4 linked regions of the Caenorhabditis elegans genome follow. The protein of the gene in region 1 interacts with the protein of each later gene in a pairwise test. Each region holds a gene or a part of one and is shown in the gene's direction. Other genes may lie near its edges.

The links.
Region 2: the proteins of aap-1 (region 1) and tsp-10 interact in a two-hybrid assay, tested with the Caenorhabditis elegans proteins (one large-scale study listed by BioGRID).
Region 3: the proteins of aap-1 (region 1) and bigr-1 interact in a two-hybrid assay, tested with the Caenorhabditis elegans proteins (one large-scale study listed by BioGRID).
Region 4: the proteins of aap-1 (region 1) and mog-5 interact in a two-hybrid assay, tested with the Caenorhabditis elegans proteins (one large-scale study listed by BioGRID).

The regions. Positions count from the first base shown.
Region 1 is NC_003279.8:5,104,892-5,112,557, forward strand, and holds aap-1 (SH2 domain-containing protein), read left to right. Parts: upstream 1-2,951; 5' UTR 2,952-2,952; coding exon 2,953-3,125; intron 3,126-3,172; coding exon 3,173-3,432; intron 3,433-3,613; coding exon 3,614-3,879; intron 3,880-4,106; coding exon 4,107-4,538; intron 4,539-4,618; coding exon 4,619-5,056; 3' UTR 5,057-5,247; downstream 5,248-7,666. Other genes in the region: chp-1 (Cysteine and histidine-rich domain-containing protein 1), read right to left, coding at 1-20; pas-3 (Proteasome subunit alpha type-4), read right to left, coding at 356-735, 782-1,154; use-1 (Vesicle transport protein USE1), read left to right, coding at 1,402-1,497, 1,549-1,604, 1,655-1,730, 1,990-2,077, 2,122-2,256, 2,305-2,480, 2,530-2,667; Y110A7A.21 (MARVEL domain-containing protein), read right to left, coding at 5,248-5,388, 5,650-5,754, 5,799-5,966, 6,099-6,177, 6,229-6,242; Y110A7A.15 (uncharacterized protein), read right to left, coding at 6,485-6,742, 6,846-6,965, 7,510-7,666.
Region 2 is NC_003280.10:6,715,317-6,722,641, forward strand, and holds tsp-10 (Tetraspanin), read left to right. Parts: upstream 1-3,269; coding exon 3,270-3,326; intron 3,327-3,371; coding exon 3,372-3,455; intron 3,456-3,501; coding exon 3,502-3,636; intron 3,637-3,762; coding exon 3,763-3,896; intron 3,897-3,945; coding exon 3,946-4,015; intron 4,016-4,060; coding exon 4,061-4,171; intron 4,172-4,213; coding exon 4,214-4,297; intron 4,298-4,792; coding exon 4,793-4,861; 3' UTR 4,862-4,953; downstream 4,954-7,325. Other genes in the region: Cuticle collagen dpy-2, read left to right, coding at 1-241, 309-476; T14B4.5 (uncharacterized protein), read left to right, coding at 1,642-1,787, 1,842-2,006, 2,127-2,226, 2,273-2,446; T14B4.8 (ANAPC4_WD40 domain-containing protein), read right to left, coding at 5,111-5,370, 5,483-5,623, 5,674-5,761, 5,810-5,992, 6,269-6,347.
Region 3 is NC_003280.10:11,178,498-11,185,416, forward strand, and holds bigr-1 (HAD family phosphatase), read left to right. Parts: upstream 1-3,156; 5' UTR 3,157-3,163; coding exon 3,164-3,412; intron 3,413-4,006; coding exon 4,007-4,081; intron 4,082-4,129; coding exon 4,130-4,216; intron 4,217-4,263; coding exon 4,264-4,533; 3' UTR 4,534-4,650; downstream 4,651-6,919. Other genes in the region: Transcription factor lir-3, read right to left, coding at 4,662-4,746, 4,934-5,199, 5,248-5,356, 5,420-5,572, 6,018-6,190, 6,241-6,309.
Region 4 is NC_003280.10:5,395,548-5,406,737, forward strand, and holds mog-5 (putative pre-mRNA-splicing factor ATP-dependent RNA helicase mog-5), read left to right. Parts: upstream 1-3,990; 5' UTR 3,991-3,991; coding exon 3,992-4,162; intron 4,163-4,346; coding exon 4,347-4,604; intron 4,605-4,655; coding exon 4,656-5,430; intron 5,431-6,691; coding exon 6,692-8,034; intron 8,035-8,774; coding exon 8,775-9,644; intron 9,645-9,893; coding exon 9,894-10,079; 3' UTR 10,080-10,263; downstream 10,264-11,190. Other genes in the region: pink-1 (Serine/threonine-protein kinase pink-1, mitochondrial), read right to left, coding at 1-34, 85-132; fbxl-3 (Putative RNA-binding protein EEED8.10), read right to left, coding at 494-609, 664-874, 917-1,301, 1,352-1,938, 2,004-2,327, 2,376-2,457, 2,515-2,615, 2,669-2,790 and 3 more; clec-141 (C-type lectin domain-containing protein 141), read right to left, coding at 10,272-10,461, 10,942-11,190.

The DNA.
Region 1 (7,666 bases):
AGTTTACTTTCGTCAACCATCTAAAAATGCAAAAGCGATTTTTTTTCTGAAGATTTCGGCTTAATAATCCAGTTTTCCCCCAAATGCTCGAGAAAATTCGAGACTCCGCCCATTGCAATGTTGCGGCACACTCCTTCTTTTTTCCAGCACTCTCGCTTGACCAAATAATCAAAGATTTGCACGGACAACAACAAGGTGAATTAAAGAAAGCAAAATTTAAAAATACAAATATTTAATTTTCACCGACGTTTGAGATAGGAATATGGGTGATAAGAAATAAAACCAGACAATAAATTAAACGGGTGGGAGGATGGTTTACAATACAGTCTTGAAAGATTATTTCAAAGGCAATAGATTACTTCTTCTCAGCAGTCTCAGCTTCCTTTTCTTTCTTCTCGTGCTCAGCAATCAGAGCATCGACTTCCTTGGTGGTGAGCTCTTCGAGCACAGTCTTTCCATCACGACGAGTCAAAACAGCCATCTCAACTTTCTCGGAAGCGAGCTTCACATCCAAAGTCTTCCAGAGAACCTTGATAGCCAACTGCTTTGCTTCTTCAAGATTTGGGGATTTGTACTCCTGTTTCAACAAGGTTACGGCAGCCTGGTGGTTGCTTCCGATGCAGGTTGCCTTCCATCCAGTGTAGTTTCCGGAAGGATCAGATTGGTAAAGTTGATATCCGTAGTGCTTATCCCATCCGATATAGAGAAGTGACACTCCGAACGGTCTCTTTCCTCCTGAAAATCATATTAATAGAAATCAAGAGAGAAGTTATCAACAAACCAATCTGCGTGTATCTCTGCTTTTCATTGCAAAGATTCTGGACGAGCTGCTCAACTGGCATTTCCTCTCCGTAACTGTTACGATAGCTGGCAGCCCACCATCTCAAGTGGTTGATGAGGATGTTCGCGTCGGCGGTGATACCAGCGACAGTGCACGAGATGTTGTCCGAAAGACGGTAGACCTTTTCAGTCATGACAGAATCATCCAGCAACTTGTGAACGTTCTTTCTCTCAGCAGCAACGACGATTCCTTCCGATGAGAGAATGCCGAGGCAAGTTCCAGCATGGCTGATAGCCTCCATAGCATATTCGACTTGATACAGTCTTCCCTCCGGAGAGAAGATGGTCGTTCTACTATCGTAACGACGGGCCATTCTCTGAAAATATAAAGATAATCTAGACAAATATGATTTTAAAATATAAACGGCAGAAACCTATAGAAAAATTACATAAAACAAGAAGAATCTCTCAGTCCTCGACAAAAAGGATGACTTGAAAATTTTTTCGCGCATGAGCGCATTTGCATTTTTGTATTTCTCGGCCGTGGCCGAACTTATTTGTTTTCAAGTTGTCAACGTTTATTTTTATTTTTTTATCTAATTTTGTCAAAACATCAATGAAATGGCGTATATTTCTGAAAATGAGCTGAAATTTCTACGACTTCTCGAGCGAACAAAGCGCTTGACAAAAGAGGATATGTCAGCAAACGTTTGGAAAGCAAGTATCACATTTTAAGTTCTGTTTAATTAATTATTTTTCTTATTTCAGGTTTCTGCAGCTACAAAGATTCTCAATAAAATGATTTATACACTTCAAAACGATGAGTGAGTTTTTCAAAATACATTTTTTAATATTTATAGTTTTACTTTTCCAGAACCACAAATGATATTCTCCACGAGTACCGACAGGAAGTCTTGCAACTGAAATTACTCGCTGAAGCTGAAAGCAAGGTTTGTAGATATTTTAGACAAGCAAATTCGATCTTGTAATTTTGCTTTAAAGATACAAATTTTTACATAATTTCTAAACTTAATTTGAATTTGTTTGATTTGTTTCAATTAAAAATTTAATCCTAAAATATTATGCAAATGTTCCGTAGATTTTATGTCCCTCTTTTCAATTTAGATTTAAGTAAAGAAAACAAGTTGAACAGCTTTAAATATTTTGTGAATTTCGCAACTGTTATGAAATTGTCAGTAAGTTTTCCAGTCGTCAGCCGAGGAGCGCCTGAAAGTGATTGAAAAAATTCCACGTGTATTTCCCGATGTCCAAGTAACTGTTGCAGACTCCAAGAATGGTTTTTGAATTATTCAATATTTCATTTTAATGTTTATATTGCAGATAACGAGGCGGAAAGTTACGATTTTGAAAAAGAATCCGCAGCTGGACTCCGAGCTACTCAACGATCCATCTATCGATCAGATCTTCGGAAGCAGTTGCTTTCATCTAATAAACATAGAGCACAAGACACATCTGGTAAAAATTAGTATCCAATGATTGTTCAAAATTCGTCAAATTTTATAGAAGATCAGGAATTCATGAAAAATGAGCTTGTCGAGGAGGAGCTAGCAAATAGTTTGGCCACTATGGCGAGATCATTCAAAACGATGATGTCGGCTGCTGGAGATGTGATTAAAGAAGATACAGAAAGAGCAATATTAATGGCGAAAGAAGTCGATGATAATAAAACAGCTCTCGGGGTAATTTCTTCACTATATAAACTTCAAATAATAGTCTTAAAATTTCCAGATTCAAAGTGAGCGAGTTGAGCGTCACGCCTACAAATGTGGTTATGACTGTTTCAAGGTCATGCTCATTGTTCTGATTTTTATGAGCTTCGTATCAATGGTTCTTATGATGAAAATTTTCAAAAAAGCGAGCACTTAATAGTCGGGACGAATTGCTAGTATTTATGGGTGTAAATATTTCAAATAAAATTATTTAATTATTTGCATTCTTCGAATTTTTTTTCTCGTTGATATTTCCATTGGTCTACAGACCATGTTATACATACTTTTTTTGTTGGTTTTTTTTGGTGTTTTCACAAATTTCAATGCTTTGCTTTTTGGTCTCGGCTTGGTCTTGTGCCAGATTTAGTCTACTTCGGCAAAAACACCACAGATTCTTCTCCTCCGTTAATTATATATATATATATATATATAAGGATTCAGAATGAGCACAACACCTGGAACTCCTCATGGAGTCACTCATAGTCTTATGGAACAAGGATGGTACTGGGCTGATGCTGATAGATCTGCAGTTTCGAAAGCACTTTCTGATCAACCTGATGGATCATTTATTGTGAGAAATGCTAGTACACCTGGAGATTATACACTTTCTGTGAAGTGGGTTTTTCAAAATTAGTATTCAATATTAATAGTCCTTTTTTCAGATTTGCCGCCCAAGTGAAACTTCTCCGAATCGTTGTTAAAGATGGAAAATGCGGATTCAATACAGATTCATTAACTCACGATTCTGTTGTCAGATTAATTGAATTTCATCGAAATATTTCTCTCAATATTTTCAATGATGCACTTGATGTTCGTCTTTTATATCCAGTTTCTGTTCGTCGTAACTCTCAAAATGGAAAACCATTTTTCAAGAAGGGGCAACTTCAGCAGCGTATGATTCTCAGTGCAAAAAATGATCATGGTAAATTATTTTATAACGCAAACGCTAAATTTAAAAATACTGTAATTTCAAACTTTAATTGCTGCGGAATTTCTCTTGTCGTTTCAAGACCTCGTACCATATTTTTATCGCGAAAGTGGCAAAATTTCGCGTCTGAGTGATTGAAAAAAATAAAAATTAGTAAATTTAATGCTTTTTTTAGATTGGAGAGAACGCTTGGAAATGGAAAATTTGAGAGCAGTACATTTGGCATTTGAGAGAGGAGCCAAGCTATATGATTCAGCTCATCAAGAAATGGAACGAGCTGAAAGTCTCTATCATGCTTTGAATCAATCAGTTCGGGACAATGAGATTAAACTTGGAAAACTGAATAATTTGTTAGAAGCTGAAACAGACGTCGTTACACAAATACAGGGATCGCAGACAACAAGTGAAATGCTCAAAGGAGCATTTGCAAATAATAAGACAGTAAGCGTTTTTTGAAGAAAAAAAACATCCAAAACCAAAAAAAAACAATTCTAAAGCAAAAAAAAGAAGTTCAATTTAAAATTGTTATTTAGCCAAAACTCAATATTTTCAAAGCTGGATTATTAATTTTTGCTCAATTTTTTTCTCGGTTTTTTAAAAATGATTTTAGAGCAAATCCTCAATTTTTAACCATTATAGTTTTGAATTTTATCTTTTTTATTTTGCAGTTTGTGGAAGAAAGTATTCGACGAATAAACACTGAACTGACGTCATCAAAGGATAAGAAAAAGACGCTCTCCGGAATTTTGGATGAAATCGCGATGAAAAGATCCAATTCAAAAACACGACTCTGCAAGCTTATGGAACTTCGTAGTGCAGTCTATGATAAAATGGAACCAGCACTTTGTTCGAGAATGGCTGCAATGCTTGATGCTGGAGCGGAAATGATAAACAGTGAGCCAACGAAAGTCACTCAACTTCTTGTCGATATGGAATTGAAGTGGACACCGGCACAATATTTGATGTGTGGAACTTCTAAGGAAAATGCTGCGAATGCTCTGATTCATGCTCGCTATCGGATCGCTCAACTTGACAAGGCTGTTGGATTGAAAAGAGAGCCACAAGATGGTATTTTCTTGATTCGAGGATCCTCTTCTCATGTTAGTTTATGATTTTATCAGAAGAATAACTTTTCATCCTCATTCACGCTAATTTTTGAATTGAATTGAATATTTTTCAGGGTGATAAGCTCGTATTGAGTGTACTTCACGGAGAACGTGTCTCACATTGTCTAATCGAACAAAACGAAGAAGGATGGGGATTCGAGCACAGCAATGTCTACCTGACAACTATAAGTGACTTCGTTCGCTATTACTCTCACTTCAGTCTTGAAACCCACGCGGATGCTATCAAAACTCCACTTCGTACGCCCGCATTTGACGCTGTCACAAGTGATACTTCAAAACCTCTTCGTAACGGACCCGGACAAGTTTTTACGGCTTTGCCAATATCCAGGAAATATATGGAGAAGGCTCTTCTCACTGATGATCCCACTAAGCCACCTGAATCACCGGAACCAAGACCGGATTCATGGGATTCTCCATCTCCGGATACTCCTTCATCATCTGATTCCCGATTGGTTCATCCAACTACTCTTCCTAAATCCATCCCGGAATAGTTATATATTTAAATCAATTACTTACATATACTCGGTTCAATTACATCCACTTGTCCCCCATCCGATCTGATAGTAAACCCACAGTTCTCTGATCACTTTCTTCTAAGTTACTTACGTTTTATTTGTGTCTTAAATGTATTTATTATCAGTATTTATATGAATTGTCAAATTGTACATTTATTGATATAAATTCAAATCCGTCGGCGGTTCATCCGCGTATTAAATCGCACAACATTCTCCTCCTGTTTAACAGTAATATGACCTTTCGTTTGGTTTTTCATCACATGTAACAGACTGAGAAGAAACGAGACTGTCACCAAAGCGCAGACAACCTGAAATTGATTTTCTTTCGCGCTCCACGGCAATTTGAAAACGCTCCGCCCCCAAACCATGGGTCTCGTTAGGTATTTGGAGGCGAATCCGTACATTCAAATGTTTTTATTTTCATTTTTGCTTATTTCGCCAAAGTGGCGGAATTAAGTCAAAAAGTTTGAATTTACGGTTTTGCCGACAAATATCTAACGAGACCCATGGTTTGGGGGCGGGCGTTGTCAATTGCCGTGGAGCGCGTTTTCACATTTTGCATAACATACCGTTGCCAGCCACCAGGCCGTATTATTCCATCGAATCGAACTGTACAACATGGTCAGTGTATTGATTGTGAACAAAAATGAGAATGATGAAATGAAGACGCTTTCCTGTAGAAAACTCGAAAAAAATAAATAATTCAATATATTCTTACCCAAAAAACCCATTCATCTGGTTCAGTCTCATTAATATTAAAAACATCGCACAACAAAAATACAGATGATCCGATTATTGCGAAGACGCATGTCAAAAGAGCAGCATATGTTGGAGCAAACTGTGAGCCAACAAGTCCAATGAGCACAAGGGATACGAAGCTTCCAAACTAGAATTCCATGCTAATTTTAAGTTTTTGGTTTCTTGCACAAAACATATATATATATATATTAAAAATACGTTCATTACTAAACTAAAACTATTCAACAACAACAGATAAAAAGTACTTGAAATAACTCACAATTTGAAAAATCTGTAGAGCAGAGGAATACTTTGCAAATTTCCAGACCTCAAATTTAGGTTTTGGAAATGCAGATTTTCTGAAAGTTATGGATAAAAAACATTAAAAGAATCGAAACTCAAATGTTCACCTCGATGGATGCATGGGGAAAGAGTGTCTAGAAATGAGAGTTGTTGACTCAATAAAAACTGATAAGAAATTATGAGTCAATATTATATTGATTTAATAGGGAGAGCTTATTATAGGGGGGAGGTAGTTTATGAATGTTGAAGAATTATTTGAATAAAAAAATTGAACAGAAAGAGAACAATTATAAAAAAAACGTCGGGTAGAAAGTGAAATGAAATGCTGGTTCAAACGAGAACATCCAGAAAAATCGACAAAACTCAAAATTGTGAACGTTTGAATTCACCTCGACGAGCATTTGCTTGATAAAATCCTTGCGTGGGACGTCTTTCAGCTTTCGGTGGCAACCATTTCTGAATTTCGTCGATCGACTCCATCTTCACCCAGTGAAGCTTCTGTTCCGCGTTCACATCGAGGATAATTACTTGGCCTTTACTGTTTACATGGAATGAAGACATATAGGGAAGAGGAAAATCACTGGAGATACGATGCAGGAAACTGTAGTCAGTGTCGAACAGCTGAAACATTTAAAAATATTCTAAATTTAAATTTTTTATTTTAAACCAAAAAAAATCTAAAAATTTTCCATATACTTGAAAAACTTTTTTTGAAAATTCTAACCTTGATCGAATGACCTTTTGCATCTCCAATGAGAAGATAGCCATTTTGGTCGAATTGCATTCCGGAGACGAATCGGAATCCAGTTTCATTGGCGAGCTGATCTATCGGCAGATCAGGTGACTGAAAATTGTGTCATTGAAATAATATATTAATACCAAAAAAAAGTGCATATTGTCTTAAGCTACAGTAATACCACACCATACCATCTCTCTAATATTTTTCAAAAACCAAAAATTCAATTTTTAACTACAGTATCCCGAAATAATTACTTCAAAAGCCAAACACGTTTTTCCTTGAATACGCATATAGTCAAGGGTGTTGGTTTTTCGATATTTCACAAAAATTGAACATTCTTAAATAAAATTATATGTTTTCTCAAGTTCTTTCTCATCGATATAAACAAAAATTGAATTTGTTCTAAACTTTCTATCATTTTTTTTTCGATTTTATCTGAAAAAAATCTTTCGATGATCCGCTGACTATCCCTTCAAAAGTGAATTTTTTTTCAAAACTACAGTAATCCAGTACTTCGACATTGTCCGCCCACAATCGCTTTAAAAGCAACAAAAAGGTGTTCTCTAAAACACAGGCTACAAACTACAATTGTTAGAAACACCACAGTTTTTTTAAATAAGAAAAAATGATTTTTCAATTTCAAACTAACCGATTCGAGAACTCGAAGAGTATTGAATGACATATTATTCCAATTTGTGTCGTCTAAGCAGCAAATGAACACCTTATTACATCCAAGATCCGAAATCGCAACAGTTGAACGATAACTAGCGATGAAGCTCGGGGAAACTGCTCCAGAAAGCTCGAAA
Region 2 (7,325 bases), on another chromosome or scaffold:
ACCAGGACCATGGGGACCACCAGGATCAGCTGGTATGCCTGGAGAAGATGGATACGCAGGAACACCTGGAGAGAAGGGATGGCCAGGACCGCCAGGAGCACCAGGACCAGGTGGAATGCCTGGACCAAATGGTCCAACTGGAGAACAAGGACCTTCTGGTACTCCTGGTACTTGTGTTTGCCAAGATACTGAAGTAGTTATGAATGATGAAAAGGGACGTGTTCCAGCTCCACGTGATAATGTAAGTTAATGTTTGAACTGTATTTTTAAACTTAATCAGAAAAACCAAACTATACTAAAAATTTCAGGTTGCTCCGGGAGCCACGGGTGGATCATATGAACCACAAGGAGGAAATGATGCAGCTGCTCCATCAGCAATTTCTCAGAGTCAAAACGACGGATACGGAAATGGTGAATCAGTCAGTAATCATAAGAATAATGGAGGATATTATCACTTGCGTAAATTCACACAATAGTTGATTCTCTCTGCATCCTTTTTTGACCGTACCTCATTATGATCTAGCCCGATTTCGGCAGTTGCTAAACTAAGGGTTTTCTCTTTAATTTTCTTCGTTGTTTCTTTCCAAAAATTCAAACATTCCACAGTTGTTTATGACCATCTAATAAGTGTAATTATTAATAAATCTTACATGATAAAAGTGCATACAAATTAAATAAAAACTACGAACTCATAAATCAAAGCGGCGCGGCGACGTCCGTAACTGTTTCGGAGATATCGGTCATGTACTACATCTTTTCAAACGAGATAGAAAGGAAAATAGCAATTAAACTCGAAACATGTGGCCACAACGTCTACTTTAAATTGTTACTGTAGAGGTTTTTGTCCCCTCGGGGACTGGGCCGCCCAGCAGCAGTGAAATGCCAGGACGACCCTTGGGAAGTCGGAGAAAGCCCCGAGTCTTCCCTAGGTTCCAAAAATCATATAACCTTTATTACGCCCATTCGACTGTATACCGTAGGTTAGTACGATGAGAACAGACTACACTTTGATATTAGCTAATAAGCCGAAGAAGCGATACTGTTGAATGAAGACCGGAGGAGCAACGTTTGTGCATCTTTTTTTTCTGTGTACAAACCGAGTGATTGGATTGGACTTTATATATCGTGAAATTGATCAACATCATAAAATAATATCAAAACTAGAGTTGTGTACAATTGTATTGTGCAGGTTTTTAATATTTTAATTACGTTTAATATTAGAAATATCAAAACTTATAAAGTCGCAGTAAGGTTGGGATGCCTCCAGATGTTATAACTTTTAAGGAATAAAATCATGGTTAACAAATAATGTTTCAGAATATAAAATCAAATGTTACATTTTTAGTATGCAATAAAGTTTTTTTAACCAACTTGTAAATTCACTCTTTTTAGGTTTTTTTTTTAAATTAGAAGTTTGGAGATCGTCGCTGTTTCTAGTTTAATTTATTTTCCAACAAATCTTTTCCTTTCTTCTGTCGATATCTAATTCTCTCAAATCGACCGTCTTTTCTATGTCAAGGCCGCCCGTTCAATGCCTATGTCTCTCAATTTCCTATATTCTTTCTCCTCACACTGTCCATTTCCATGGTCTCCGAATTCGGACTGAAGTCGAGCATTTCTTAGTAACTTTAGCTTTAAAACATGGCGCTCCCACGTATTTTGGAGCCCGAAGAAGACGGAATTGTTGGACCATTTGAGCAAAAAGTTAGACATTTATTATCACTAACATTCCGATTTATTTTGGCAGTTTTTACGGCTTCCCATCTATTTGATTTTATGTTTTCCAGGTTAGTTATTATTTTCAGTTTGTGCTTTTTTTATTCATATTTTAATATTTCAAGCATATGGATGCATGGATATGTATGGACATTAAATCTTCCAATCGATTTGGATATGACTGATAAACCAGCTGGAGCACTTGTAAAGCATCAATTGGATAACATGGGTCATTTAGAAAGAACTATTCAATCTGTTCTTATTGTTTTGGCAGTTGTTATGGTCTTATTGTAAGTTTTTTAAAAAATATTTTGCGTATTTCTTTTATTAGATTTGCAGAAAAAAATGGGGAAAACATTTAAAATAATTTTTAGCTGAAAATCTAATACATGTAATTTTATTATTTTCAGAGCTCAAGGATTCACACAAAAACCTGGGAAAACCACGTGGCAATTGTTCAATACGTCCGCTGTTGTTGGCTTGATTTGCGGATTCATCAGGCCAGTTCAGGTAGATCTCTATAACAAAAAATATTTTAATACAACTGAATTTATAGATGCAACAAAGATTATTCTCTAGTCTGCACGAAGGATTTTATTGCTATTTTATGTTCTTTATCATCTCATTCATTTTGACAGTTCGATTTGATGAGAAACTACCGAAAAAGAATGCATTGGTTGAAAATCCATCAAAGGAAGAAGAAGCTGAAGTAGAAAAGAAGAATAATTGAAAATAATTTTGAAATGTAGTATTTATTGAGCGTTCGGGTATCAATATTATGATGGTAATAAAATTTACGAAATTTTATCAGAATGAATAAACGCGCACGTAATTTTTGTCGGTTCACAGAAAAACATTGTTCCCCGCTTCTTCATTCAAAAGTATCGATTCCTCGGCTTATTAGCTATTAGTAAGATAAAAGTGTAGTTCATGTATTAATCTAAGTTTATATGATGTTTGGAACACGGCGAAGACTCAGGGGTTGCTACGACTTCTCAAGCGTCGTCCTGGCGTTGCACTGCTACCGGGCTCGGCCCAGTCTCCGAGTGGACAACATAATTTGCAACAGCAGTACATTGACAGGACTGCAAAATGCACTGTAGTTTCACCAGAAAATTACGACTTTACCAATTACGACTTTACCTTGTAATGGTAAAGTTCCGTATTGGCACATGGTTGTCAATAAATTTGGGTATCATGAATATTTACAACGTACAGTTGCGGAAATTATGAAAGGCTGTAAAATATTGCAATGATCATTTATCTCATAATTCAAATTCTTCGAGTTTTCAAAGTTTCTTCTCAACAACTCCGGTTTCGGGATGCAACGTGACTTTCAATCGTTGACCGGAGTGCATGTTGACTCTCCGGCAGTTACTATCAGTCCGCGACGGCCATTAAAATATGTTTAATGTCGAGATTTAATAACCTCAATTCGACGTGTTTTACGTATCACTTATCACTGTCTTTCTTGCAGCTTCTTGTCTTTTCATTCAATTATTAGCACTAATTAACTTTTTTTTTCTAGGGGGTTAAATCCAGAAACCCAAGAAATGGTGGAACTCAACAATCAGGATAAAGTATTTCTAGGTGCATCCCTTGCAACCGCAGTAAGTTTCTGACATTGAAATAGATATTGAAAATAAATTTTTTAGATCATCGGTATTGCACTTATTGTAATTGGTTTTTTATTCCGATTTGGCGGTGGATTTGGGACATTTTCCACGTATGCCCAACAGGTACAGTAATCCAATTCCTCTTTCATCTCAGTTCTAATGTTTACAGGATAATGATTTCTTAGAGTTGAAACGTCTAGATATGATTTTTGGATTGTTCGTTGCTGCTGCCTGTGTGCTTGTTATTTCCTTCCTCGTAGCAACTGTATCCGTTCTCCGACACAATTCGTTTTTGCTGAAAGCCGTAGGTTTTTCAATTCATGATTCATGATGATTGTCTGGTCAAGAATGTGAATAATGAAATCTGAAACAAATGTTTTATCCTTTATCCATTTATCCATTAATCTACAACTATGCATCATGTTTCCAGTACTGTGCAATGGTTGCTCTTATGATTGTGGTTCAACTAGTTGATGGTCTTCTAGCTTTTACATATTCTGATCAAGTAAATCAATTGGCTTCTGACGATTTTATGTACGAATCATTGTCGAAAGCTGCTCAAAAGTATGATTTCAGGCAATATCCCTCTAAAGTTGACAATTAATTTTTACAGAACCATCCCACCAATTGGATCACTTTCCTCTGACGCCGAAGTTCAGTTTTGGGCAAATACTCAAGATTTAGTAAGCTTTATGATGTATCTTATATTGAGAAAGTATTAATTTCAGTTTGGTTGTTGTGGAGTTTACAATTCCACGGATTGGTCAGTGTTTTGGGGAGTAACTGGAACTAACAACGACTTGCAAGCATTGCATTGTTATCCACAACATTTTAATGATGTAAATTCTAAAGAAAATTCGATTAATATTCAAATATTTTAGGGTTGCGAGAAAACTATCAGAAATAAAATTTCGTCGAATGCTCAATACCTCGGAGCAGCTTCCATGGGAGTTTTGGTAGTTGAGGTGAGTGTATTTGGTAACATTTGAAATGTTTGTGTATATCGTAAAACACGAATTTTATGAGAAAAAAGAGCACGAGATCAAACCTATTATTTGATAGTTTATGGTGTTTAGCGGACACCTCATAAAATTTCATATAAAGATAAGGGAAATCGAATAAAGAAATGATGCCGGCCATCAACCTGGCGAATGACACTGGAAAAGTTTGGGAAAGTAACCAATTGTTATAATTTCACAAAATCATTTAAAAAAATACCACTTTCATAACTTCCGACTCTTCCCGCACTCTAGCGAGCTGTACACGATTTGTTATTCTGGTTTCTCCAGTCCCCGAGGGGACAAAAAACATTCACACTACCAAGCAATTAAAAGTTGACAATGTATAACTTTCTTTTATGCTGGAACTGAATTTTCTTCAGTATCACACCAAACGAATTAACGTTAACTGTTTACTAATTTATATTTTCAATTTTGATTTACTAAAATGTTCTTTTTCAGATAATTGCGAGTTTCTTGGCCGGATATCGTGCATACACATTGGCTCATCCAGAATTCGAAGACAAATAATTTATTAAATTTTTATTTCGGTTTATTTATCAGTTTTGTACATTTCTTTTTATAATTTGGCAATTAGAACAAATTCAATTTTACACAAAAGATTCTTGGTGATAGTTTCGATTATCAGACAAATAAGGCGATCTCAGAATCAAAGGTTCCATGGAATCAGATGATGTTGAAAAGGAAAAACAACGACATTTTCGGAAAATTTTGAAATTTGTACAACGAAAGTTGCAAAACAGTGAATATTGTAATTTCTTATCGAAAGAAAGGAAAACAAGATGGAGATGTTCGAGTGACAACAGCTCTGCTTAATGTACAAATAAGAAGAAGTTTAAGTGGAAGAGCAATGTCAGATGAAAATGATAAATGTCCATCAGCTGTTAGAACTGCCAGTTGTCGTTGAGAGTTCTTTTCACAAACGACTCGCCACGTGGATCCTCCAGATGGATCAGGCTCGTTGAAGGCTTTTGCAATGGGCTCGTGGCGAGTATCTTGAACTTCTATTCCATCGCTTGCTGAAAATTGAGATTTTAGAATAATTTTGTAAGAGCTGCAGAGCTTCCACTGTTTTAAGTTGTTACGCATACACAAAATTTTCAATAAATTTAATAATTTTTAAATTCTTACCAAGTGCATAATATCCTAGAACTTCTCCATTCCAATCAATTATTGAAAAAGTTGGTACAGTCCGCCTGGGTCGCAGAAATGGAATAAAGAATGAGAGAATTGATCGAGGAGCTGTGTCTGTTACAACTGCTACTCGTCGACCTGAAAACCAATTATTAATTCTAAAAGTTTACAAAATTAATATATTTTACCGTAAGATTCAATAATCCAAAAAGGAGCTTCATCACAAACATTTTCCGACCAAATATCTAAAAGTGGAAAGTCTGATGGATCAGTTACCTGTAAATTATAAATATTATAAAATATCAAAAAAATAAAGAATCCTACTTGTAATTCAGATCCTTGATGATTTAATCGTAAATGTGTTGAAGTGGACACGTAGAATAAAACCTGTGATTTTGATGGAACAATTACTTGTTTACAAGAATGTGATAATTCTTCTTCGATATCAGTATCTCCGTCGTTTATATCTACAGCTGTTTCAAGACGATCAGGTTGTGATGAGCCCGGCTGAAAATTAGACGATTATCTAATTTGAGATTTATTGATTGATGTATGATATTGGAAATGTTCAATTACAGTACTCTTCGAAGGAACACGACTTTTTCATTTAACGAAATTTTGTCGTGTCGAGACCGGATACCGTATTATTGGAACAAAACTGGCAAAACTTTGCTCCGGAGTAATTTTCAAGTTTAAATTTTGACGCATTAAAAAATGGTTCGCAGATTCCAAAGTTCATTCACGTATTGTTCATAAAATTTCTGACGATAAATTATTTCAAACCTGGACAACTGTGACGTGGCCATTTCCTTGTGTCATTTCGTAGGGGTACCGTGAACAAGATGGAAATCCGTTTGTCGACCTGAAATAAACGAAACTATAGTAGAGTACACCCGTGTTCTATCTGTTTGCCACTTTTTCAACTGGCAGCACTTAAGTGTCTCTACGAGTGTCAAATTTCGGCGGAGAGATGGCCGAGCGGTCCAAGGCGCTGGTTTAAGGCAACCAGTAGCTTCGGGGGCGTGGGTTCGAATCCCACTCTCTTCAGTTTCTTTTTTTTTCAATTGACAAAAAATTGAAATTTCCCAACTTTTGAAACTGGACAATGAAACAAAATTCGTACAAAAAGAAATGAAATGTGTTTCAGATAGAGAAAAGGAAGAAGCTCATTGTTGTTGTTTTGACATCTACCACAACATCTTCCTCTTTTTCATCGTTGTCACCGTGTTTCTCCGGAATTCAATTAAAATAAAGCGTTTCTGGACGTCTTCTAGTTTCAAAACTCTTTTCAAAAAAGTCATTCACTAGTTCTTCCTAATGAAGAAAGAGCAAAATTTGTCTTTTTCTACGGAACCAGGATCAGGGGGATTCGAAAAGTTAATTAAACGATGGTGAAATGGGCAAAAAAGGGTCTTTAAAGAATAATTAGGAGGTCAAGGTTTCCATTTTTGTTGATATTTTGGAATAACGAAGAAGTATTTCATCAAACAAGAAAAAGTGATAGAAGTAATAATAATAATAACAGTAGAAATATCGGATTACAATCATAAAATATTTATGAATCAAGAGGATCTCATGGGTGGGAAGGGAGTGAATAAAATTGAAAATTCTACGTGTTTTCATAAGAAGCTGACATTTTTTTCATTTCTAAACGCATTTGGCAAGTTACAGTGTAATCTTGGTAAAAATGTGGAAGACCGGATAGATGAGCTATCCTAAAAATTCGGTAATAAAATGTCTCAGAAAACGTAGCTGTGAAACTTTTTGAGACTCCCATTCTTACAGAATAGTAGATATAAAAAAATGAGCTGAGCTTTCTAAAAATACATTTTTGTACGAT
Region 3 (6,919 bases), on another chromosome or scaffold:
CCCCAGTAAATGTAGCTGCAAAATCACAATTAATTCTAGTTTTTTCCCCAAAACGTTCGATCTATGTTGTCACTCTTACAGAAAGCCCATAGTTCAAATATATGATTAAATTTGTATTTTGCGTTGTGCAAAATTGTTTCCAAATTTCCCCTTCTCTATTTAAAATATATTATAAACAAAGAATGTGTCTATTCTGGTCACAAAAGTCTGACTAGACTATACACGTAGCATGTACTATTGTCGTGATGACATTGAACATTTCTCTCCGCGGAAGGTCGACTTTGTGAACTGTCAAAATAGTAGTATCATTTGATGACCAACAAAACTATGAAAAGCAAAATTTCAAACATCTATACCAATACTATAATATTGACTACAAAATCTCATGATTAGGAATTCAGATATTCAATGTAAATGCAAATATGAAGTGTTCAAGAGTTTAGGTGAACTGTGTTGATCTACCATTTTGGCGCCGCGGCATGTCCCTGAAAAATTTGATCGAAAGAAAAAATAGTTATCTTTTGAACTGTGGTCACAATAATTGATATGGCGATTCTTGGAACTATGAAAAACTTTACAGGGGCGCTGAATGGAGAAGAAACCGTAGCGATTCAAAATAATAAGACAGAACTCATTCATAGTTTTTTTTTCACTGAACATCGCAACAAATTGTTTCTTAACCTTATCGTAAATTCCAGCTGAGATATTAAATAGTCGTCTGAAACTGAGAATGCGCATAGAGCATCATTTTTAGGCAATGACCACCGTAGCTCCAGTGTCGATTTACGGGTTCATTTTTTTGAACTTCGGCAAATTGCCGTTTTTCCGGAAAATTCGGCTAAATGTTGCCGGTTCTAAATCTAAAAAATCTATCACTCAAAGTGTATTCTCTTCATTGGATGACTTTTTTTCGATATTGTCATCAATATTGTAATAATTACTGTTCAAAACTTTCAGAACTCAGTAATGATAACATGCACTTTTTTATTATTTCAATTTGACCAAATATTGTCAATACAACCTCCAATCTAAAAAAAAGTGACGAGTATGTACATACCGTATTTCTTCTATTAATATGGCTGCAATACTATTTTTCGAAGGTCTTCCCGCTTGCAATACTATTAGGGAGTGCAAGACTAATAGGGAGTGCCATACTATTTTTCAGAACATTTTTCTGTGTTGGGGCTTACTAATATTTACTTGAAAAAACTCCAACTTTAATTTGGAAATATAGAAAATTTGATTGCAATTGCAACAAAAAGGTACAATAACTTCAATCTCATAAAAATTTTCTCATAAATTGTTGCAAAATATTCAAAAAATGTTATTAAAATCTTAAAATTAGTAAGGAGGGTTCGCACCAAAAAAAAGTAGGTGCAAGACTATTAGGGAGTGCAACACTAATAGGGAGTGCCAGTCTAATAGGGAGGCCATACTAATAGAAGATATACGGTATGTATGTTCAATTAAGAAACTACCGCACAGACTAACCGCTTTGAACTTTTTCAAGTTCTAGTTCAAAGAACTATAATACCAATAATCCCATTCAAATGAATCCTAAGCCTGTTAAACAGAAATGAATGAAACATGTGTGCGTGGGTGGCCGAGTACAACGAACCACTCTTAATCTCTTCCGATTACCGTCAGATTTTGGAAGGAGATGATAGAGAATCATATGTATCAACACAAAATATCACAAAATCTTTTTAGTTTTTCCGTACGATCTTTGTCAACCCAACGGCCACGCCCCTCCCCTATAAAACCTCCGAATTTCTGTTCAACTAGGCTCAGCCCTTCACATTTTGTGACTTATTCCCTCCAGTTGAGTCAACAGAGTTCATATAGTATGACTTGTGCATGTTTCTATAAATATATGTACATCACTTTAAAAAATAAACGTGGTATTTATCACCACCTGATTGTAGACTATTCATTGTAGTATAAATAGGCGAAAGTTGTGTAGTTTTGGTAGTGTCGGAGCACAATATCACTTTTTGTCTGATGATTTCGTTTTATTAATTTTTTTTCAGAAAACTTTGTATTTCAATTTTTTCTCACAACTTCTTTTCCAAGTTAAAAGCAATATGGTAGGCACACACATCTTTAGGCCTACCTGCCTGCCAATCCATCTGCATTTTGGCATTAGACCCCAGTGTATGTATATGGTAGCATTTTTAAATTTTAATTGATATATTTGTGGAAAGTTCAGTAAAAATAGTTACAGATGTATTTTCTGTGCAGACACACTTAGCTGCCTATTGGTATATTTAGGCGCCTGCCTATCTCCATCGGTCCCGTTCTGTACCGACATGACCAAAACCATTGTAGTTTTGGGATGCACAAGACGGAATTTTCTCTATTTCCAATTTATTAATGGAGCCCCAGGTGCGGTGGAAAACTGACAAGCGTCTGCAGAAAGGTGTAATATTTCAATATTTTTCACTACGATCTTTTGATACAATAAAAATCTAGGTCATAGATTACTTCATCTAATTCATATAGGACATGCATTTTCTGTCTTATGTTCACTAAATCAAACTACACTCTAGAAGTTTCAGGACAATTCAAAAGTTCAAAAGTTCAGTACCATGGAAACATGGGGGGGGGGGGGGGGTCTGTCTAGTCGACTATATTTTTGTTCGAGATCTTTGTTGACTTTTTGAACATTTTGGTTTTGACCTTTTTTTTTTGAATTAAAAACTCCAAAGGTTTATATTTCTTAACGTTCAGTTCCAGCGAGGGAAATAGTGAAGAGGAAAAGAGAAAAAAAGAGAAGAAAAAGACATTTCATGGGGGCCTGGGGACCTCCACACTAGCATTTTGTTCTTTGCCCCACCATCTTTGAGAGTTCATCGGAACAAAACCCGTTTTAACTTTTCTCTCTTTTTCGTTCATTTTCGTGTTTTCTGCTGATATATATGTAACTGATATTATCGACGGTGGCGTATTTTATATTTTCTAGTGATGAAAGTACACTCATCTAGTCAGCGACAACGCACGTTTTGTCTGCGTCTGCCTGCTTCCGAATATGCTTAAAGACCAACTCGTTCAGTTTTGATGTCATTTTTTGTTTTAGTATTCAGTTTCAAGACTTTTCGTTTCATTTGAATTGTTTTTTTAAAATATTTTTCTCCTAAAATAATAAATCAATTTCAGTTTCAAAATGACTATGACCCAGCAAATTAAAGCAGTTGTCTACGATTTCGGAGGAGTTTTACTCTCTTATGAAGGTGTTATGGAGAAATGGGTTGCCATGTCAAGATCACTTGGACTTCCTGATGATGCTGTACACAGTGAATCTGTCGGAATTGAGTTTTCGCAGTGGTTGGGACCCGATAGAAGTCTTTTCTTGGGTACATTGACTGTCGACGATTTGGAAGGAGGTCTCTTTTTGCAGTATTTGAAGCATAAGGTAGGCGAGGTTTAATCAATTTTGAATTTTTAAGCGTCTCTTAAAAAATGAATTTTGACTTTTGTAAAACACTTTTTTGGCCAAAAATGTTTTTTAAAAATTATATTTTGAATTTTCCCGTCGAATTTTTTTTGAACACTGGAATTTTGATATTCCTGCTTTGTTCCCTAAATTTTTAAAAAAGTTTACAATGTGAATCTCGGGAAAAAAATTTCTGTTGAAATATTGAATTTTGAAATTCTCGCAAATTTTCTTGTGAGTCAAGTTCTAAATTTTTTCACAAAAAAATATGCATATTGGTACATGCGCCAAATTTTTCTGAAGTTTTGAAATTTCAATTTTTTTCGAAAAATACATGTAAATTTCCCCCAAGATTTTTTGGAGAATTTAAATCTGAACATCCATCAATTTTTATAAAAAAACTTGAACGTTCCATCGACTTTATTTTTTGGAAAAAATTTCAGAAAGATACAGCTGAAACATCGTTCCTACATTTTTAGGAAGTTTGAAATTCAAATTTATTGCAAGTTTCATGAATTTCCTTATTTTCAAAACAAAGTTTTTGAAATTTTTTCTTACTTTTTAAACTTTCAGTATGGAAACAAGCTGACTGACAACGTTGTGATAAAACCATTCACCGAGTGCCTTCGTGGAGAAAATGTTAAAATTGTAAGCTTAAAATGTTTCTAAACTTTGCCCTGAACCTAGCATTTTCAGCACAAAAATATGCAAAAAACCGTGGAAATTCTTCACAAGAAGGGCTTCAAAACCGCCATGCTGACAAACAACATGTTCTTAGATAAGGTAATCGAGTTCCTATCAATATTGAAAATTTGTTCAATGATTTTCAGGAGCACAAGGAAACCAGACTTCCATGCGATTTGACACATTTCGATGAAGTTGTAGAATCTTGTTTGGAGCATCTCATGAAACCAGACGCTCGATTTTATCATTTAGTTGAGAAAAGACTCGGAGTCAAACCAGAGGAAATTGTGTTTTTGGATGACCTCCATGAAAACATTGAAGCTGCAGAAAAGCTCGGATGGAACACAATTTTAGTAGAAGACATTGAAAAGGCGATTCATGAACTTGAGGGTTTCACTAAGGTTAAGCTGATCTAATTGGTGATGTATGTATATCTAACCGCTTTATAACTGCAATATAATTATCAAATTGTCACTTTTTATCAGGAATATAATAAATTGGAATGGTATCAAAAAATAAATAATTTGGCGATGAGAGCGATGAATCAGTTTAAGAACCCAGTTCTGTGAGCAAATTCAGGGAAACATTTTATCATTGCAGCATGCCATTCAGCTTTCATTATGTTGTCCCTGGAAAAATATGATTTTTTAAATTTGAAACTTCTACAAAAATTGTTCACAAATAATTTCATTTCAATTAATATTTCAAAGCCTTTTTAAAATAAATTGTATTGATTCTAGCAGCATGGGGATGTTTAGGTATTGTTTTAAAATATTTATATTTGAAATTTTGATTTGAAAAAACTCCAAAACTCACGTAATATTATGCGGCGGAATGTCACTTCCATGCTGCGAAACCGTATGTTTTCTCATCGTTGATTTTCGATAGTCCAAGTAATCACACTGCTTGCATTTATATTGTCTTCCAACACAATGAAGAGCAATCACATGCATTTGGAGATTCCATCGACCGCTTCTAGGCGTTTTGACTCGAACTCCACAGAGCTGACATTCATGGTAGTCGCCGACGGATTTGGCCTTTTTCGCGGCAGAATCCGAGTTGGAGCCAGATGGTTCGTCGTTCTGAAAATGAGGAATTGTGAGTCTTGGAATATAGAAAAAACTACTAACCGAGTTGACACCTATAGGCACAATTTCCGGTTCTCCACTCAACAAGCTCATCAGTTGATCTCTATACTCCTGTTCCTCGGCGTGATGATCATAACGGCGTTTGACACACCTGAAATCTTTTTTTTTTAATTTCTCGAATGTCCAGTAGATTTATTAAAGTAGATAAACTCACGGCTTGCTAGTAAGTCGAATATCCTCTTCCTCCTCCTCCTCAACAATATCGTCGTCTTCAATCGGTCCAACACCAACACTTGAAGCTTCCTGTCGGATGCCCGTAGATGTCACCATTGAATTCGAAACTTGTGAAAACGATGGAAATAGAACTCTGAAAATTTGATGAACTTAAAGTCGCAAATTTTATTTGTAAAAACTTTTCTGCTAAGTATTATACCGTATTTCCTCTAATAGTATTTCAACCAACTGATAAATTTGATAACTCAGTTGTCGTTTGTTTTATTGAAAAACTTTCGACTGACAAAATATTTGTTAAATGTTTTTCTATAGATTTGCTGTTGATTATTTATTGATATCTTTGAAATGAACCGAGATATAACTTTTTGAAAGACTAGTAGAGAATATACAGCAAATAAAGGCAGAAGGTGAGGCTTCGGAAATTTTTTTTTTGGCGAAAGAGAAGTTTTCGACAAAATAAAACCTTTTTTATTGGTTCTTTTAAGAGTGAATTTTTCTGAATTGTTTGTGAAATATAAGGTTTGATCTCAAAAATTTCCATTTTTTAAATAAAAAATATTTAAAAAAAAACCACCTACTTTTGCTCATGCACTGGATATGGAGAATGTCGAGTTTCAAATGTGACAGGAGATGAAGCTGTTTCACGGAGTTCATCTCTTGAAATTCTTGGCTCTTCTCTCTGGATTCTGTCGAGAGTCGGGTGTCGCGAAAGATCGTCCAACAGCATGAATCGAGCAAATCCATTTTCTAGCTGAAACTTTTTTTTTTCCAATTTAGTTATTTTTCACTAGAAAAACCCACCATAACTTGAACCAACTGAAGTGCTCGCTCCTTTGAGTCTATTTCTACTACGAGAAATTTTGGATCCATTCTGAGAAAAAAATTAGTTACAATATCTTAAAAGTCACGGAAGAATTCGGAGAAATATGAGGAAAAAAACCTTGAAAAAAATCCTCCCTTTCTTTCCAAATTTTCCTAAATTCTCGGCGAAAAATCAGGTTGAAAAAAACTCAAATAATTTCCTACTAAAATCCTACGGTAATGAATTTCTAGAAACAAAGAAAAAAAACTGAGCATAAGTGGCCTATAGTGATGAGATAATTCAGCCAGCAGGCAGCAGCATGCGGGCAGTCAACAGCAGTCAGCAGGCGGTCATCGATCGAAGGACAAGCAGTGCTGCGATGCAGGCAGTGAGTGGGGACTGAGAGAGTGTGCAAGATGAAGAGTGTACAGACATACGTGTACTGACGGACTGGGGAATTGGGTGGTGGAAGGGGGAAGGAAAGAGAGGGAGAGGCTGCGGAGACTGCTGTTTGGATTCAAATGCATAGCTGTTGGATTTTGCAATATATTGCAAAAAGGTGATGGGGAGATTTTAATAAAGAAGGTTTGGGTGGGGACTTTAAGAATATTGTAACTTTTTAAAGCTACCGTATTTCGGAAAATTTATTTTGCTTTATTTGAAAATTATTTTTATTTG
Region 4 (11,190 bases), on another chromosome or scaffold:
GGAAAATTGGTAGTCGTCCACCTTTTGCAACTAACTAAAAAATTTCAATTTAACGATTATAAAAAAGAACGATTTTGAAGATACCTCATTTGCGATTCGATATGCTGCTTTTCCGAATCGTTTCATAGACATTCTTACTTCTATACACTGAAAATATTATAAGTATTATAATTTAATATAATTTTTTGGTTTTTTAAGAGAAAAACGACAAAATTCCGAGAGAAAAAAATATTTTGAATTTAAAAAAATTCGAAAAAGCATCACTTTTTCTCATAATGTTTAAAATTGAAACAAATATCAAAGAACGGTTGAAAACCCGTAATTTTTTCAAAACGGGTCTCTAAGAAATCGAAAATTTCATTAGACTAGTTACAAAAAAAATGACAAGAAAAATGCTGAAAATGACAAAAAATGTTATTATCAATAAATAAGAACCTATAATTGCAATAAAACGGATGAAATTGTTTCCTTCGTTCGATAAAATTCTGAAGCTTTAATCCTTAATAAGCCCGAGGCTTCTTGCTTCTTTTTCAGCCCATTCCGCCAATTTTCCATCGTCTGTAATTGGTGATTCTTCTTCTCCACAGACAGCATCAATGTAGAAACTTCCTGAAAATTTTTGAATAATAGTTTTTAAAGAACTAAATTAATCTTAAAACATACTTTGTGCGGTCAATGCTTCAAATTCATCATCCGAGCCTTCAGCGTCTGACGCTGATCCTCCAATGGCAAACTTGGATGACGAACATTGGCTTGTCTGCATCGTGACAATCGTGGAATAATCGGAAAAGTCGACGACTACTCTTGATCCTCGAACTGACAACTTTGAAGCATCAGCGGCAGTTCCACCGACAACGAGGGTGATTGGTGGAAGCTAAATTTTATTTTTAATTTTATCCATTTCCTCCTAACGAACCTTTGGTCCTGATGGGAATGCTTTGATAAACTGTTGAATCGAGTCATTTGATACTAAAATTGAACCACTTAGATCCACGTGGCGGATATTTGGCATTCTAAGCTTCGCACGCACACCATCATCACCAAGATATGTGCAATTTCTCAGTTGAATAATTTCCAACTTTTTCAGTGAGCCCAGTTGCTCTAAAACTTTTGAATTGACAGCTGCCAGCGACGATGCATCAAGCTGAGTCAGTTCTTTTAGATTTTTAATCGCTGAAACTCCTTCTGCAGTGATCGACGAATCGTTTCCAGCGTTAGCAAGACTGAGTGATGAAAGAAGCGGTAGACCAGCTGATATTGAGATAAGAAGCTCATCATTAACAAGAGCGTTGTAGTCAAGGCTGAAACATTGATAAATATAATTTTAATCATAGGTTCAGATGGAACTTACGCCAATTCTGTAATATTTCTCATGTGACTAATATGAATCAATCCGGCTGACGTTAAACTTTTGAATCCATCCCCACATAATGTTAAGATTGAAAGATCTTCCATTCTTCTAGCGATCATACTCAGATTCTCATCTGTGATTTTATAGCATTCATTGATCCGTAATTCTTTGAGACCTCCACAACTGGTGCATAAATCTTCAAAAGCCATCTCATCTACTTTTGATGATCCATCCAAATATAAACTTTCCAGTTGTGACCCGAATAATTTGAATGATCGTCCGTGGAGCCGTTTTGAATTTCGTAAATCCACAAATTTAAGTGAATGACCACAGTTTTTAAGTAAAAAGTAGAATGCCTTGTCTCCAGTTGTTTCCATTCCTCTATAAGATAGCTGTTCTAAATGTGAAAGTGATTCTCCAAGTTCTTCGAGAGCTTCAGCCTGAGCATGAGTTCCACTAATATCAAGATCAACTAAATTCGGACAGCATGTTGCGATGACTTTAAGTGCTCGGCGATCATCAAGAAGATGCACAATTCCAGAAACATCAAGTGACCTCAAGTGTGCACCAGCACGAGTAAGAATCGCCTGAAATTTTTTATTTTTTATTAACTTTTTAAAACTAATTTTTTTAAATTTCAGCTCAAACTCATTTTAAGATGACTTGTTCTCATTGGTCGTTGCTTGTTGAATACAGTTTCTCTTGCCAATGCAATTTTATTGACAAGTTCCCAGGATTTAATTGATTCTTCCATGAACTTTTTATTAACTCGTTCCAATCGAATTGTTTCGTGAATTGGTAAAAATGAGATGACCCTTCTAAGAATTTTATCCGGGACGTTTCCCAAATTGAATGATTGCTCGGATCCTGAAGCTAACGACTGTGTAGATGAAGCACGGGACAATGGAGTATCTTCACGACTTCCAACATCATCACTGAGCACGAGACCTTTACCTCCACGTTTTTTCGATACATACTACAAGATAAATTGGTTTAAAAATTAAATCCCAAATCAAAAACTTACAGCTGAGACAACCATAACTTGATCATAAAACTTCAACTCTTCAGGATTCGCATTTTTCGCGCGATCAGCATGCTCAGACTTTCTGCAAAAATTGTATTATTAAAAAGACCTGAACAAACCAAAAAAATTTAAATTATACTTAAAAGTAATAGTAGCAGTTCCACAATTTCTGGAATGCTTTGGAAGTGTTCCGAACACTGATGTCTTTTTCTCTTCGCGAGGCAGAATGCAGCTGGTTATCTGGAAATTTAATTTTAAAATTTTATATTTAAATGATAATTAAAACAACACACTTTTCCATATTGAGAAAAGAAGGATTGAAGCTGTGATTGGGTGACTTTAGCAGAAATATTCGAAACCACGATTTTTCGATCATCACGAGAAGTATGTTGGAAAGCGATAGATGCATCGAAATCTGAAAAAAAAAACAATTATTGATTTTTTTTCCAAATTTTAAGATTTATTACCGTCTGTTTCTCCTCCATCAAATGCATCTCCATCGGCGAGTAACATTGGTAAAAGTCGTCGATATTTCATAAACTCTGCGGCAGAGTGGGACCAAGTTCGCCTGAAAATATTTTAATTTTAATTTAGAAAAAACCAGAGCTAAAATGTTGATATTACCTCAATTTTCCAATACTGAAAAACCGTGCCCTTGTGACAAATGACTGAAATGCTTCAGTCATATCATGAAGCCCTCGGCTCTCCAAGTTCTGTCCATGAAGCCGGCGGAGTGCTTTGAACATACTCTGAAAAATTGAAAATGTGTGAAAAAAACGTTTTTTCGAGAGAAAAGATAACAGAACCATATGATTTGATTTGGCTACTGTTCCCTAGTGTTTTCTTATCACATTAACATTTATTTGGTAGACAAAAAATCGAATTGTGTTCTCTAACCTGTTGTGATTTAGCACTTCCAGCGCTCCCGAGGTTCGATGTGAAGCTTCGATTGAAATCCATTTTTTAGGTTTAACTGTTTTCTGAAATTGAAACATTAATAATAAATTTGAAAACAATTTTGATCGATTTTCACTAGTCGTTGTTCGGAGGAGGAATGGCGCATGTTTACCAGTGAGTCGGGTTAGAGATTATACGGAAGTGAAGAGACGCAGAAAACGGGACATTCGGATGCTTGGGGACACATTGGTCACTATGAAACGTTCAAAAGCACCAATTCAAAGAAAATCTAGAAAATTTGCAGTTTTTGAACAGCTTTTAAATTTAAAATCATGCTTTAAAAGACCTTGTTTTTTGTTAACTTTGAAGGCAAAGGGTATTTGCAATAACGATTTTACATTAACACAAACTTATATATCCATTTTTGGAAATACTAAAATAAATTCAAAAAAACACAATGAAACATATTTACAAACGAAATGAAAGCCGGCAGCTTCAATAAAATAAAAAATAATTGTTGAAAAAATATAATTAAAGAAAGCTGCACACTGTGCGGCACAATTGCGAAAAAGCGGGCCGCAGTTTGCATGAAAGACCACGCCCACTATTTTAGATTTCGAATTTGTTTTTTTACTCTAATTTTCTATTGTTCGAGTTTTTCGGAATTAAAACTGCTTTAAAGAATTATTTTATTAAATTTTTTATCTGTAAATTTCAGGATGGACCAGCTTGAGCACCTCTCACTTGTGAGCAAGGTCCTCAGTGAAGTTGAGAACCATTTTGGTGTCGTCGAAAAAGATGTCGCTGAGTTTGTTATTCATTTGGCTCAAGAGAATCCAACATTTGATAAACTGAAAAAGGCTTTGGATAGTCAGGGACTTGGGGATCAGGTATGTTGAAATATGAGAAAATTTAACGACTAAATTATTTTTTTAAAGGAAATTTCAAAATTATTTTAATTCAAGGTGTTTTAAAATATTTTGATGAATATCAAATATCGAGATTTAAAAAAAACATTATTCGTCTCATAAATATAAAAGTCTCGATATTCCTCTCTTTAATTCTAAATTTCAGTTTGATGATTCCCTCACTGCGACCATACTTCGTATAGTACAAAGCATGACTGCTGTTAAAAAGAAAAACAAGAAAGGTGGTGATTCAAAAGAAGATATCAAGGATTCACACAAAATTACATTGATTTCTGATGCAAAAGAAGAAATTAAAGCACGACTTCCAGCTCTAGCGATGGCAAATACTGCGAAAGAAAAGGAAGATAATGAAGATGATCTTATGGCTCAGTTAGAAAAGATGGAAGGCCGATATGAAAGTGAGGTACGTATCTTTGATATTTGAAATTTGTTAAAATAAATTTTCCATTTACAGAAACGTCTTCAAAAGGAATCAGATTCAAAACGAAACCGTTCAAGAAGTCGATCAAGGAGTCGTGATCGAAAACGAAGAAGAAGTCGTAGTGGTGACAGGGATCGTCGGAGACGTAGTAGGAGTCGTGAAGACAGAAGAGATCGAGATAGGAGGGATCGGGACAGAGACAGAGACAGAGGACGTGGGGATCGAAGAGGAGACGACAGACAAAGAGATCGGCGTGATCGACGAGATGATGGTGGTGCTAGAAAATCCGAAGTTGCAGAAATCGGAAAAATCTACGATGGTCGTGTAAACAGTATTCAATCGTTCGGAGCTTTCATCACACTGGAAGGTTTCCGTCAAAAACAAGAAGGACTTGTTCACATCTCCCAAATTCGAAATGAACGAGTTCAAACCGTCGCAGATGTTTTGAAAAGAGGAGAAAATGTCAAAGTTAAAGTTAATAAGATTGAAAATGGAAAAATCTCGTTGTCAATGAAAGAAGTCGATCAGAATAGTGGAGAAGATTTGAATCCACGCGAGACCGACCTGAATCCGGATGCAATCGGAGTTCGTCCACGGACACCGCCAGCATCAACTTCCTCGTGGATGAATCCTGAAGCAAGTGGAGTAGGACAAGGTCCTTCGACCTCAATTGGTGGTGGAAAGGCGAGAGTTCGAATTTCGACACCTGAACGGTGGGAATTAAGACAAATGCAAGGAGCCGGAGTTCTCACAGCCACAGATATGCCTGATTTTGATGAAGAAATGGGAGTTCTAAGAAATTATGATGGTGAGTATTTTATTTATGATCTAGTAATTAATGATAAATTTGAAAAAAAAATTATTTTCTCTTGAAAATCACTAAATTATTTTTGAATTCCGCGCAAATGGTGCTTTATTTTGCTTACCGTATTTCCTCTATTAGTCTTGCACCCCTACGGGTCAATCTAAAATTAGTCTTGCAGCCTCTATTAGTATTGCATGCAAGACTAATAGAGAACATACGGTATTAGTCTTGCACCCCTATTCTTGCCAGACCAGCAGTATTTTGTGAAAACTTCAACAATTTCGCCATTTTATAGCTAAATTAAATTTTAAAGTGTTAAAATAATTGATAAAACAATAGAAAAGTATGTATTTTGCATGATTTAGACTGTTTCAAGTCAAATTTGTGACGATAAATGGCCAATTGAACAAATCTATCGGGTCTTCGAAAATTAGTCTTGCAGCCTCTAATAGTCTTGCAGTCTCTATTAGTCTTGCACCCCTACGGGTCAATCGAAAATTAGTCTTGCATGCAAGACTAATAGAGGAAATACGGTATATGATTTTTTAAAAATAATTTATATTTAAAAAAAAAACTGCAAAATTTTTTTAATTGAAAACAATTTCAATTTCTCTTGAAAATGACTAAAAATGATGTTTTACAGACATTTTTCCTTAAAAATTGACAGTAATTTATCGTTTTTAAGCCGATTTTTTATTTTCAACAAAATTTAAATTTGGTTTTCTTTACTGAAAAATGCCAAAGTATGACAAAAGATGCATCGGAGAATAAATATCGAATTTAGCCTGAAAAATGCGAATACTTTACAATTACGGCAATAATTTTCCCGGGAATTCAAATAAAATTAAAAATTAAGCAAGATTGAAAAAAAAACATGAAAAAAATGATGGTATAAAATTTATGATTTAATAATTTATCAAGAAAAATTGTAAAATTTTTTGAATTAAAACAAATTAATTTTTCCTGAAAATGACTAAATTGTTTTTGAATTCGCGCACGCAGACATTTTTCCTCAAAAATCGACACTAATTTATCGTTTTTAAGACGATTTTTTAGTTTCAACAGACAAGCCAAAATATGACAAAAGTTGCATATATCAAAGGAAAAATTTCGAATTTAGCAGGAAAATGCGAAAAATTACAAGGAAATGATTTTCCCGATAATTCAAAGACAATTTTTAAAAAAGCTAAATTTAAAAAAAAATCATTAAATATTTAAAATAAAGTTTCTATCATTTAAAGCACAACAATTTTTCAATTTTCAGATGAAAGTGATGGCGAGGATATTGAAATCGAGCTTGTCGAAGACGAACCTGACTTTTTACGTGGATATGGAAAAGGCGGTGCAGAAATAGAACCTGTAAAAGTTGTCAAAAATCCGGATGGTTCATTAGCTCAAGCAGCTTTAATGCAAGGTGCTCTTTCAAAAGAACGAAAAGAAACGAAAATTCAAGCACAACGAGAGCGTGATATGGATACACAGAAAGGATTCAGTTCAAATGCTCGAATTCTTGATCCTATGTCTGGAAATCAGTCGACTGCGTGGAGTGCTGATGAGTCAAAGGATCGGAATAATAAAATGAAAGAAATGCCAGAATGGTTGAAACATGTGACAGCTGGTGGAAAAGCGACTTATGGAAGAAGAACCAATTTGAGTATGGTTGAGCAGAGAGAAAGTCTTCCGATCTTTGCGTTGAAAAAGAATCTGATGGAAGCAATGATTGATAATCAAATTCTTGTCGTTGTTGGAGAAACTGGATCAGGAAAGACTACTCAGATGACACAATATGCAATTGAAGCTGGACTTGGAAGACGTGGTAAAATTGGATGTACCCAGCCTCGTCGTGTTGCAGCAATGTCCGTAGCAAAGCGTGTGGCAGAAGAGTACGGTTGTAAGCTGGGAACTGATGTTGGATATACAATTCGTTTCGAAGATTGTACAAGTCAAGATACTATTATCAAGTACATGACGGATGGTATGCTTCTGAGAGAATGTCTTATTGATCCTGATCTTTCTGGATATTCGTTGATTATGCTTGATGAGGCTCACGAACGTACAATTCATACGGATGTCTTGTTTGGATTATTGAAAGCTGCTGCTAGAAAACGTCCGGAACTGAAGCTGATTATCACTAGTGCCACCTTGGATTCAGTTAAATTTTCAGAGTATTTCCTGGAAGCTCCGATCTTTACAATTCCTGGAAGAACATTCCCCGTTGAGATCCTGTACACAAGAGAACCAGAATCAGATTACCTTGAAGCTGCACATATTACTGTAATGCAAATTCATTTGACTGAGCCACCTGGTGATGTTCTTGTGTTTTTGACTGGACAAGAAGAAATTGATACATCGTGTGAAGTTTTATATGAACGAATGAAATCAATGGGACCTGATGTGCCGGAGCTGATTATTCTTCCTGTCTACGGAGCTCTTCCAAGTGAAATGCAAACAAGAATCTTTGATCCAGCTCCTGCCGGAAAGCGAAAAGTTGTTATTGCTACGAATATTGCCGAAACTTCTTTGACAATTGATGGAATTTTCTATGTCGTTGATCCAGGATTTGTGAAACAGAAGATTTACAATCCGAAAAGTGGAATGGATTCCTTGGTAAGCATTTATGCACCCGTCAGGGATTTCACGAAAAAATTCGACCAAAAAACAAGACAAAAAACGAAAAAAAAATTTCAAAAAACACGAAAAGCGGCTAAAAAAACGAAAAAAAAAATCAATTTTTACCAGAAAGTTCAAAAACCAGGAGAACAAGTTTTTTCGAAGACGAAAAACGAAAAAATAATATTTTGCCAAAAACAAAAAAAACTCGGATTTCTTTTTAAAAAAAACTTTTTTTTTTTGGTTTTTGTCTTAAAAAAAACGAAGAAAAAAATCCATTTTTACCAGAGAGACCAAAAACAAGAAAAAAAATTTTGTTCGAAGCGAAACAATTTATTTCGCCAAAAACAGGAAAAAACTGAAATTTTATATTTTTGAAATGTTTGAAACGAAAATTCTTATTATTTCAAGAATAAATATTTGTAGAGTTATATTTAATTTTGAGTGTAATGTTTTGTGAAAAAAAGTGGAATAAATATTTTTTCGCCTTTTTTTAACAAATTTTTTTTCGAAAAAGTGAATCATACATTTTTCGCCTTTTTTCATAAATTTTGATTCGAAAAAAAAGTGAAAAAAAAATGTTTTCACCAGAAACTGAAAATGATGCAATAAAATTCAATATTGTTTGCAATTAGACGAATTAAAATTATTAGCTACTCAAAATAAGATAATTTTTTTCGAGATATTAAAAAACAATTTTCTGATAAATAAGAACGAAAATACAATATAAATTTCAGGTTGTCACCCCAATCTCACAAGCCGCAGCAAAGCAACGATCAGGACGTGCAGGACGTACGGGACCTGGAAAATGCTATCGTCTCTACACAGAACGTGCATTCCGTGATGAGATGCTTCCGACACCTGTTCCAGAAATTCAGCGAACAAATTTGGCGTCAACACTTCTTCAGCTTAAAGCTATGGGAATCAATAATTTGATTGATTTTGATTTCATGGATGCTCCACCTCTGGATTCAATGATTACTGCTCTCAATACACTTCACACGCTTTCAGCACTTGATGGAGATGGTCTTCTCACGAAACTTGGTCGTCGAATGGCTGAATTTCCATTGGAACCATCACTTTCCAAATTGTTGATCATGTCTGTCGATCTGGGATGCTCAGAAGAAGTTCTTACGATTGTGGCAATGCTCAATGTGCAAAACATTTTCTATCGACCTAAAGAAAAACAGGATCATGCTGACCAGAAGAAGGCGAAATTCCATCAACCAGAAGGAGATCATTTGACACTTCTAGCGGTTTACAATTCATGGAAAAACCATCATTTCTCACAACCATGGTGTTTCGAAAATTTCATTCAAGTGAGAAGTATGAAGAGAGCTCAGGACATTCGTAAGCAATTACTCGGAATCATGGATCGTCATAAACTTCTGATGGTCAGTTGTGGACGGGATGTATCGAGAGTTCAGAAGGCTATTTGCTCTGGATTCTTCCGAAATGCTGCAAAACGTGATCCACAGGAAGGATATCGAACATTGACTGATGGACAGAATGTTTATATTCATCCATCATCAGCATGTTTCCAACAACAACCAGAATGGGTTGTATATCATGAACTCGTCATGACAACTAAGGAATATATGAGAGAAGTAAGTTTATTTCAATTTTATATACGGAAAAGTACTGTAGGCGGAAAACACAAAAATGTCGAAACTAGGCCATTATGCTCCCTTTTGAAATATTTTCAAAATTTGAAAAAAAAATACAAAGTTTAGAGAAATTATATACATTTTTAAAATTCATATTTGGCATATGGAGACTTTATTCTTTCATTTAGGGCCAAAAACTATTTAAGTCTAAATAAGAAATTAAATAAAAACCTAATTTTCAATTTCCAGGTCACCGCAATCGATCCAAAATGGCTTGTTGAATTTGCACCGTCATTCTTCAAAATCGGAGATTCTACCAAATTATCAACATTCAAACGAAACCAGAAAATCGATCCGTTGTTCGACAAGTATGCAGATGCAAATGCCTGGCGTATCACACGTGTCAAGAAGAGGATATACAATCCCAACAAATAATCAGTCTCCTGTGTTTCTTATCGTTTTTTTATTTTTTAATATTTAAGTTATTCATTTTTGCTTCTTTTTCTGATGTCAGTTCTTTGTTTTCTGTCTGTAGAGTAAATACGAGTACACTTGTTTTGTTTTTGAATAACCTCATTTATTATCATTTAAACATTCAAAATATACCATCATTAGAATTAGAAGTGTTTAGGATGGGAGGACTCCGCAAAGAGCACCGAAGTTCCAGTAGGCGGTGTTGGTTGGCTCATTTGGAGCCTTGTCCATGTTGCAGTAGATATCGTTGAATTTATTGTTACGGTTGAGCATATTGTATGGATTATCCCCTGGTCCTGTGAGCGCTGGGTAGACGGTAAATTGTATACATTGTTCGATGTCACTGGAAAATCAATTGATAAATCACAATTTCTCTAAGCCTTTTTTTGGGAGAAAAAGTTGAAAAGAGGGGCCAGCTGGCCTAGTTTCTCACTTTCAAAGTTTTTGGCAATTTGCCAAAAAATTTGAAAATATTCAAAGCAATGTCGCATGTTCCGACACTTAGAATGTTTTAACACGAATAACTAAACTAAAATTAAAGTATAAAAATGTAGGAAAAATAATTTTTTTGGTCGCCTTCCAAATTTATGAGCAGCAAAAAAAGCTTGACACCGTGTGCTTCAAGTTATATACCGCATATTCGACTTTGACAGCTAATAATCTCGTGATTTTTTGTTTTTGTAGAAAAACTTTAACTGAGAACATATTTTTAAATCTTTTTCTATACTTAATGTTTTTGAATTGTCTTAATATCTTCAAAAACATTCGAGAGCCGCACTAATAGAGATTTTATTTATTGTTGCACATTTTTGAATAAACTTACTATGTCCAAGCATTTGCAGATGGCTCATTTGTAGCCCATTTAGACCAAGTAAAACCTGGTGAGGTATGCTTATCAACCATTACGAATGAATTTGTACCATTGCATTCCTCACTGTCAAGAATTCCTCGATCTCTTGAAACACATGCTGCAATACGTCTTCCGTCGACAGCAATAGCGCCACGAGTTGCCGGTCCAACACGATCGAACTGTTGTGCCATTTGTAAAGAGAACACATTGAGCTCCTCCTCG